Linked DNA regions of Ovis aries. The protein of the gene in region 1 binds, or shares a complex with, the protein of each later gene. Links are inferred from orthologs where the notes say so. Each region holds a gene or a part of one and is shown in the gene's direction. Other genes may lie near its edges.

Region 1 (3,814 bases):
CTCTCAAGAGTCTTCTCCAACACCATAGTTCAAAAGAATCAATTTTTCGGTGCTCAGCTTTCTTTATAGTCCAACTCTCACATCCATACATGACTACTGGAAAAACCATAGCCTTGACTAGATGGACCTTTGTTGGCAAAGTTTGAATCATTAAGAACATAAAACAAATCCACAGAGGTATTATCTCTGGTGAAATATAAATCCTGGATTCCCTTCTTCCTATTGTGCTGAATATTCTTTTCCTTTTCAACTGTTTCTTTATCTAATTAACCTTAGCCCTGTCACTCATCTTTTTGCTACTGGACTATCAAACCATACATCGTACTTTCACATTTCTTTCATACTTACGCACTGTTATCAGTGATCTTCTAATTGCCAAATCCAGTGGAGGTTTTTTGCATTTTTATTCATTTCTCTTTGTTTTATTTGATCCTCCTGTTCATCCTGTCTTTACTGAAATTTCCTTTTTCTTCCCATGATTTCCATAGTAAAGACAACAAAGTAGATTTCGTGTCCCCTGACTCTGGTGACCCCTTTCTGGCCTTTTGTCTCTCTTACCCCAGGTTGAGTCTCAGCGTCTTTCTCTGACTCTGTGTCTTGTTAGAAGTGGGTGTGCCCCGAGGTGCTACCAGTGATCCTCTAATTTTGTTATTTTATGCTTTCTCCCCCAGGAGTCTTTTCTACTTTTATGAATTTCCTGTGACTTTTATGACATGGTCCCCAAATCTTTTTCAATCCCTTGCCCCTGCACCTCTAAGTACTTGGCCCATATTGCTGATTCCTGCTCTGACATCGCCTCTTTGATACGCTAATGAATCCCTTCTGTTTCACCCAAACCCCTCACTAAGCTGACTGACGGTACTTATTGTCATAAAAAAAAGTTTGTGCCTTTTGACCTAATATTTCCACTCATGCAAATGTTTCTAAGTTCTAAGGGAAAAAAACCCAGCTATGCAATCTGGGGCCAGGTTTCCTGGATTTAAATTCTGCCCTTGCCATTTACTATATGATCCTAGGCAAATTGCTTAACCTCTCTGTGCCTCATTTTCCAGATCTGTCAAATAGGTACTTTAATAGTATAGGTTGATAGATGGATTAAATGAGTTATTATATAAAGTGGTTATAACAATATGATATGTGATAAGCATTGTATAAATATTAGTGTTACAATAGGGCTTAGTTTAGCTTTATTTATTTGTAATAGTTAAAAATAGAACAATCTAGAAGGAATGCTTACATAAAATTTACTAGATCAACTTAATGGAGTATTGTATAGCAAAGACTGAATTGTGAAGAGTATGTTAACATGGAAAATGTTTATGATATACTTAAAAGATAATATTTTTGGATAGTGAGATTGAGGAATGATGTTTTTTCCCCTCTATTATTTAATGTTTATGTAAAAATTAAAATCTCAGGAATGGGATAAAAAGTCCCTCATCTAAATTTGCTTTCAGTGTTACCATCTCTCTCCCAGGTGTGAAATGTGAGTCATCCTTTGACTTTATCCTCCTTTCCCACAGCCAGTCGCATAATGTTTTTTAGACTCATTTCTTTGTGTTCTCATTACTGATACCATGTCTTCCTAACCTTAAACCTTGATTATTGTGGTCATCTTTTTGACTTATTTCATTTTCGCATTCCATTGTGTTCACCATTGTGGAAGTTATCATTTTGTACACATCATGGTCCCCTCATAGAAATCCTCATTGCTCTTTGAATCCCAAACTCATTAGCTTGGCATTTTAAACCTGCAGCGGGTGGGCTTCCTTGGGGGTCCGGTGTTTAAGAGTCCGCCTGCCCATGCAGAGGACGCAGGTTCAGTCCCTCATCTGGGAAGATCCTGCATGCCACAGAGCAACTAAGTCTGTGAGCCACAAATACTGAGCCTGAGCTCTAAAGCCTGTGTTCCGCAATGAGAGATGTCACTGCATTGAGAAGCCTTCGCACTGCAACAAAGAGTAACCCCCGCTCTAGAGGAGGCCTGTGTGAAGCAACAAAGACTTGGACAACCAAAAATAAATTTAAAAAATAAAATAAAACCTGCTGTGGGGACTTCCCTGGTGGTCCAGTGGCCAAGACTCCGCCCTCCCAATGCAGGGGGTCCAAGTTCAATCCTTAGGAAACTAGATCCTACATGCCACAACTAATAGTTCACATTCCACAACTAAAAACTCCACAGGCCACAGCTAAAGAACCTGCATGCCTGAGTGCATGGGTCGTAAGTTGCTCCCATCATATCTAACTCTTTGTGACCCTATGGACTGTAGACTGCCAGGCTTCTCTGTTCATGGGATTCTCCAGGCAAGAATACTGGAGTGGATTGCCCTGCCCTACTCCAGGGGATCTTCCAGACTAGGAGTGGAACCCCGTCTCTTAGTCTCCTGCGTTGGCATGTGAGTTCTTTATCACTAGTGCCACCTGGGAAGCCCTGCATGCCACAACGAAGATCAAAAATCCTGCGTGTGCCACTAAGACCCAGTATGGCCAAGTAAGCAAATCTTTAAAGAATAAATATAAAACCTGCAGTGGCCAGCTCCTTCCCTATGTTTTCAATTTTATCTTTTAGCTATTCTCATGAAAAAAACCTCTGGTTCCAGTCAAACTATCTTTTTATAAATCCTCTGCAAATTTCTGCCACCATGCCTTTGCTCACACAGTTACCTTGCATGGCTTTGCCTTTCCCCTTCTCTACTATTCATGCCTTACTCTTCCCTTAGTGTCCACCACCTCTTGAGGCCTTGACCACTTGGATTCTTACTGATTATACTTGCCTCTGTATAACCTATAGTACCAATTGACTATAGCAAGTGCTCTCAGTATGTGCTTTTTGAGACATAGTATCAGTAAGCTAAATAAACATAGCCTGTAACTCTGCAGAATAAGCTTTTAGGTTCTCAAAGATTTTGAACCTCACTTCAGTGTAAAGGCAAACGATTCTGTGGTGTTCAGGTAAGCTGTGAACTAACTATAGATGAATACAGTTGAACATGTAGCAAGGAAACAGTCTCTGAGTCTAGTCTAAATCCATAGGTGTTTATTCTGCTTTTAGATTCTCCTGGGAACTAAAATTCTGAACTGTGGTTCCCTCTGAGATTCCCTTACATGGTAAAAGACACCTAGTTCACAGGTTTGTAAGAATGAAAGAAGGAAAACTCTGACTTGGCCTATAGTATTAACCAGAGATTTGAGTTAGAAAAGAGCAAGTTCATTCATTTAAGGAAGAGCCTATTTCATAGTTCTTTTCCTAGTTGGGAATTTTTAGGGGGTGTACTTTTGCTTTTAAAGGGAATTAAAACCAAATGATTCTGGGTTAATATGAAATGTTAAGTTCTTGTTTAATTTCCCAGCGCCAGCAGAAACTTCAGAAGGAACGTCTCATGAATGACTTCTCTGCAGCCTTAAACAGTTTCCAGGCTGTGCAGAGAAGGGTGTCTGAAAAGGAGAAGGAGAGCATTGCCCGAGCAAGAGCTGGATCTCGTCTTTCTGTGAGTTTATTTCCAAAAGAAGGTCTCTGCAAATTTCAGGATGTTCTTTCCTAAGTTAAAAAATTTTTTTTTACCATTTGTCTTTGCTTACTATCCCTGCGAATAATAAATATGGACATTAGCTGCTATGAAAATGTCAGATTGGTATAACCTTTGTTAAAAAAGTGTACATACGGTCAAAGACTGGAAAGGAATGTGCACAAAGATTTACAAAAATGACAGGTAGAATCATGTGTAATTTTCTTTTTTCTCTCTCATTGTCATATTGATCTTATGTTAAAAGCTTTTTAAAAAGAAAGGTTAAATCCGTTTCCTAGAATGTAGAA
Region 2 (4,277 bases), on another chromosome or scaffold:
TCTTCATAGAAAAGAAAATGGCTCAGAGAGGCTGAGCGATTAAACCACTTGGGTGAGTGACAGCTGAACCCGACAGAAGCCAAATCATCAAACCTCCTTTACAGAGTTCTGAACTGTCTCCTACCCACTCTTGAATTAAATCCAGTTTGATCCAGACAAGGTCTACAGCATTTGCCTGCGGTTGCCCCTCAAAGGCTAACGTAAGGTCTACTTGTGTTAGAAGTAAAGAAATCGGAGGATGAAAGCTCAAGGAGGGGAGGGGAGGAGCGGGGAGAGGAGGTGAGGAGAGAGACGTGTGTGTGAACTCAGGGCCGGAGGCGTAGATGAAAATAAGCACGAATGAGACTATTGGGGGGACGGGGAGGGAGGGAGCGGGGGCGGGAGGGGGGGGGGAAGGCGAGGGACCGGGAAGGCAGGACGGCGAGCGCGGGGAAGATCTGTAGAAGGCTATTTAGCACTGGACTGGAGTGAGTCAAGCGAAGAAGATCTGAGAACCAGAGCAACAAAGATTTCCACGCAAGAGATGTCGCGCTGCCTCGTGCCTCAGTTTCCCTCCCGTGTTATGGAGCAGAGCACTGAGAAATCCTCACGCAGGGGACGAACATCTTGGTAAGGGTGGTTGGTCTCGGTTTTCTGGAGATGCTGGCTTCATTCGGGTGGGGCGATGACCGCAAAATCATGTCCCCTGCTTTGACTCCCACCTCGGTCCGGTCCTCAGTGCCCGCTCCTCGGCCATCGCATTTCTGGGGCGGCTCGGGCTCACCCGGAGCAGACTCTCTCCCTCTCGGATAACTCCTTCCTGGGTACCCCAGCCCAACGCAAGTAGAAAGTAAATTCTGTGCGCTAGAAGCTGGGGTGTGTGACCAGCCACGACCCGCGCGTCGCTCCGCCAGCGCCCTCGCAGCTGCTCTCCTGCTCGAGCTCAGTGCGCAGTCTCCGTGACAGCCACTTCCGGGAGGTCCGCCGCATCAACCTTCCGTCGGGAAGCAAGTTCCTCTGGCTTCTAGTTTGGGGAACCGGAACCACTTTCCAAAACGCGGAGGAAGGAAAAAAAAGCTTTTAAATGATTCCTGAGAACACGAGGTTTTTTTAGGCTTTTAGGGACACTGATTTAAGGGGTTTTCCTTAGAGAACTTCTTAATCTTGGAGCCTAAACGGAAACTGAAACACGCACCCAGCCCAACTTCCGGAGGACCAAGATCGCGACGAACAACCAGGAAGCGGTCGGCCTGGGAGCTGTCCCCGGTTCTCTGCTCCGCTCTCTAGGGAACTTTCCGGGTCCTTACACTCTGTTTTTCTTGCCCCGCGTGACCTCAGCTCCGTTCTAGGCTCCGACCCGGGCCGGCCACTCCGGAACCCGCCATGTCGTCCGACTTTGAAGGCTACGAGCAGGACTTCGCGGTGCTCACAGCAGAGATCACCAACAAGATTGCAAGGGTCCCCCGACTCCCACCTGGTAAGGGCGCTTCTTAGGCCGGGCGGGGGTGTCCTGGAAAGTGGGGAGGCTCCGGTGTGGACGATGGAACTCTGCCTCAATGCCTCTTAGGCGCGAGCCTGGAGGATGAAGTAGTGTCGGGGCCTCCGGGAGGAATGGTTGAGTGGGTTGAGGGTAAGGGGAGGATCCAAGCTGGATTGTGGGGTGCAGAGCCTTTGGAATCTGAAGCTTTTTTGGAGTTCTTATCTGGACTTCTCCACCTTTTTACTCGTATAACCATGGGAACGTTTCTCTGAGTCTTCGTTTTGGTTGGCTTTTCTGTTACTTTTGTTTGTGAAATACAGAGATGTGAGAGTATTCAACGAGAATGAATTAACGTACCAAGGTCATGGGTCTACACCATACAGCAACGTTGTTTTGTTAGTAACGATGTTATTACTATAGGCAGAAAAGCAGGGTTGAGAGCCGTGGTGCCTGGATTCAAATCCCAGCCCTGCCACTTAGAAGTTGCATTTAGGCAAGTTTCTTAACTTCCCGCAACTTTTGTTTCTTGGTAAAATGGAAAGAATTGTGCATCTCTCATGTGAAGATTAAATGACTTAACATATGTAAAATCCTTTTTTTTTAAAATGTTAGCTGCTATAATCATTAATATTTTTCATACTACCAAGCTCATTTATTTTTTTCTCATCCTTCTTGAGAAACGATGTGTAAAAATTGGTACAGAATAATTTTTCTCACTTTTAAAATCCCACAGCTGTCATTCAGAAGAATTTTTTTGTTTTAGCACATCTTATTTTAAATGCTGGACTGTCAACTATGTGAAGGTGGGAGCTATCTTTGGTTTCCTTGGCATTTACTTAGAAGGAGCTCAGGAAAATGTTCAAGGAAATGAACAGATACATAAATATGATATCATGTAATTTTCATCTGTAGGATATTGTTTTAGGATTTGTTTTCTCTCAATACAGATTTAATTTGAGTATTTAGTTGCAAATAAGATTGCTATTCAGGAACTTAGCTGTGGTAGGGAAATTGAACCGTATACCTTCACTCTGTGGTGTAAAGTTTATCTGTAAACCGGTGGTCAACTTCATTGTTCCACCTTGTCAGTCAGTCCTTGATGCCAGCAATAATTTCTCCTATACCGAAGCTGTGATTCCTCTTTTCCTTTCCCCACCTCTCCCCAAACTTATGTGTTTATAAATAATTTTATTCCTTTATTTCTTTATTTTTCTCCTCCCCCTCCCACACCTGTTTTCTATTAATAGGGACATTTGCTTGAAGCCAGGATCTCTGAACTTACACCCCATTCATCTCCTGAAGTCCCAGTTAGTTCTGGAGGAGGTGGAGGATGATGTCTTAAAGAGGTGTATGAGTCCAAGTGAGGGAACAAGAGGAAAGAACCAAGGTAGCATCTACCACGGAGCTCTGCTGCCTGGGAGATTGTTGTGGCGAAAGTGGCCAGTGGCCTCATCACTTCATGATACATCACCTCGCCTCTTCTCTTCAGTTCTGCTTTCCTCCACCACCCAAGATCATCTTGATTTTTGTTGTCATTATCGTTGGAGCCTACCTTTGACTTCAGTCCCAGAACCTCAGAATATCAGGATTTGTGGTTTTGTGGGATTTTTTTGCTCTGTTTTAATTGTCAGAATTGTAGCTTAGCAAACATTCTTTTGTTTGGGCTAATAGCTTTGGTATTGAGAAGCTATTCTATAAAGTAACAAAGTCATTCCTGGGTGCAAAATTGTAACAGCCAATTCCAAGAAAACAGATTTGTTACAATTGTTGTTTTTTTTCTTCCCTTTTATTTTAATGTGACCATTCTTACCACATAGAAACCTTTGAATTAAGTAACTTAGAGACCTTGAATTTCTACAGCTACAATGTAATGTAAGGTCCAAAGAAGCAGCTTCATGGGAATTGAAAGGAGACTATAGCTGGCATTGGAAAAATGCTTACTAACTTGAATAATTAAATAAAATAGTAATTCTTAAAAATACTGTGGTTTCCCTCTCAATAATTATTTGTACTTGCTCATTTTATAATCTGTTTCTAGTTGATAAATAGGGAAAGATAAAAAATATTATGTTTGTAGTTATGCATTTCAGATGTATATCTGTGGACAACAGGAATTGATTATGTGCAACCATGCAAAACTAGTATGATTAAAAGTAATTATAATCTCTTCCTGGCATCATTGGTGGTTGACCCAGAAATTACCCAAGTAAAGGTTAAAAATTGGAGCAAAATTTTCAGCCAAAGCAGTTTAGTCCCTGAAATATTAACTTACTGAAATGGGATTAGAATAAATTGGATTGATTGCAACTAACTTCATTCTCTGCTGTGCATGTACAATGTGTTAAAGTGTTACTTCCAAGAGAATAGAAAAGATTAAATATTTTAAAACTTCAAAAAGAAATTTGATTACTCTGTGGACCAAAAGATAGATCAGTCTCTTCTTAAGTAATATTCTTATTGCACTATATTTGAGCTTTGATTTTAATGATTTGTATTCTGGAGTAAAGTCAGGAAAATGGATGAGTGGAAACCATCACTAACACTAATTGTAACGTTCCTCTTTCTCTGACGATGAGTTGTAAGTGGGGGAGATACTTTATAGAGGCTGGAATTCCATGCCAACAAGCAGGCTTCCTGAAGGATCTTAAGCAAAAGGTTCCTTTGCAGTTAGTTGCTTATCTCACCGTGTACAGGGAGAAAAATGGTCTGTTGTGAAGCCTATCATTTGGTAGCTGTAGTCAGAAATACTGAGAAAGGTGTTATGGTAACAGTTCACATGTGGCATCAGATCTGTTTAGAATCCCAGCTCTGCTGCTTA

Evidence for each region.
Region 2: the proteins of STX12 (region 1) and VTI1A are in contact, whole or in part, in a crystal structure (PDB 2NPS), measured with the Rattus norvegicus proteins. The link is inferred for Ovis aries from reciprocal best matches to the Homo sapiens genes STX12 and VTI1A. Residues at the interface, in NP_075228.2 of Rattus norvegicus: Glu185, Ile188, Gln189, Leu191, Glu192, Ile195, Leu196, Val198, Asn199, Phe202, Lys203, Leu205, Ala206, Ile209, His210, Gly213, Ile216, Asp217, Glu220, Val223, Glu224, Ser226, Glu227, Val230, Glu231, Ala233, Ser234, Asp235, Leu237, Gln238; in XP_038945999.1 of Rattus norvegicus: Arg131, Arg134, Ser135, Arg138, Leu139, Ala141, Gly142, Ile145, Ala146, Glu148, Thr149, Ile152, Gly153, Met156, Asn159, Leu160, Asp163, Arg166, Arg169, Ala170, Arg173, Leu174, Glu176, Thr177, Asn180, Leu181, Lys183, Ser184, Ile187, Leu188.

Annotation. Positions count from the first base shown.
Region 1 is NC_056055.1:239,297,671-239,301,484, reverse strand, and holds part of STX12 (syntaxin-12), read left to right. Parts: intron 1-3,350; coding exon 3,351-3,488; intron 3,489-3,814. UniProt on the Homo sapiens protein: SNARE promoting fusion of transport vesicles with target membranes. Together with SNARE STX6, promotes movement of vesicles from endosomes to the cell membrane, and may therefore function in the endocytic recycling pathway.
Region 2 is NC_056075.1:32,506,427-32,510,703, forward strand, and holds the start of VTI1A (vesicle transport through interaction with t-SNAREs homolog 1A), read left to right. Parts: upstream 1-1,207; 5' UTR 1,208-1,362; coding exon 1,363-1,456; intron 1,457-4,277. UniProt on the Homo sapiens protein: V-SNARE that mediates vesicle transport pathways through interactions with t-SNAREs on the target membrane. These interactions are proposed to mediate aspects of the specificity of vesicle trafficking and to promote fusion of the lipid bilayers.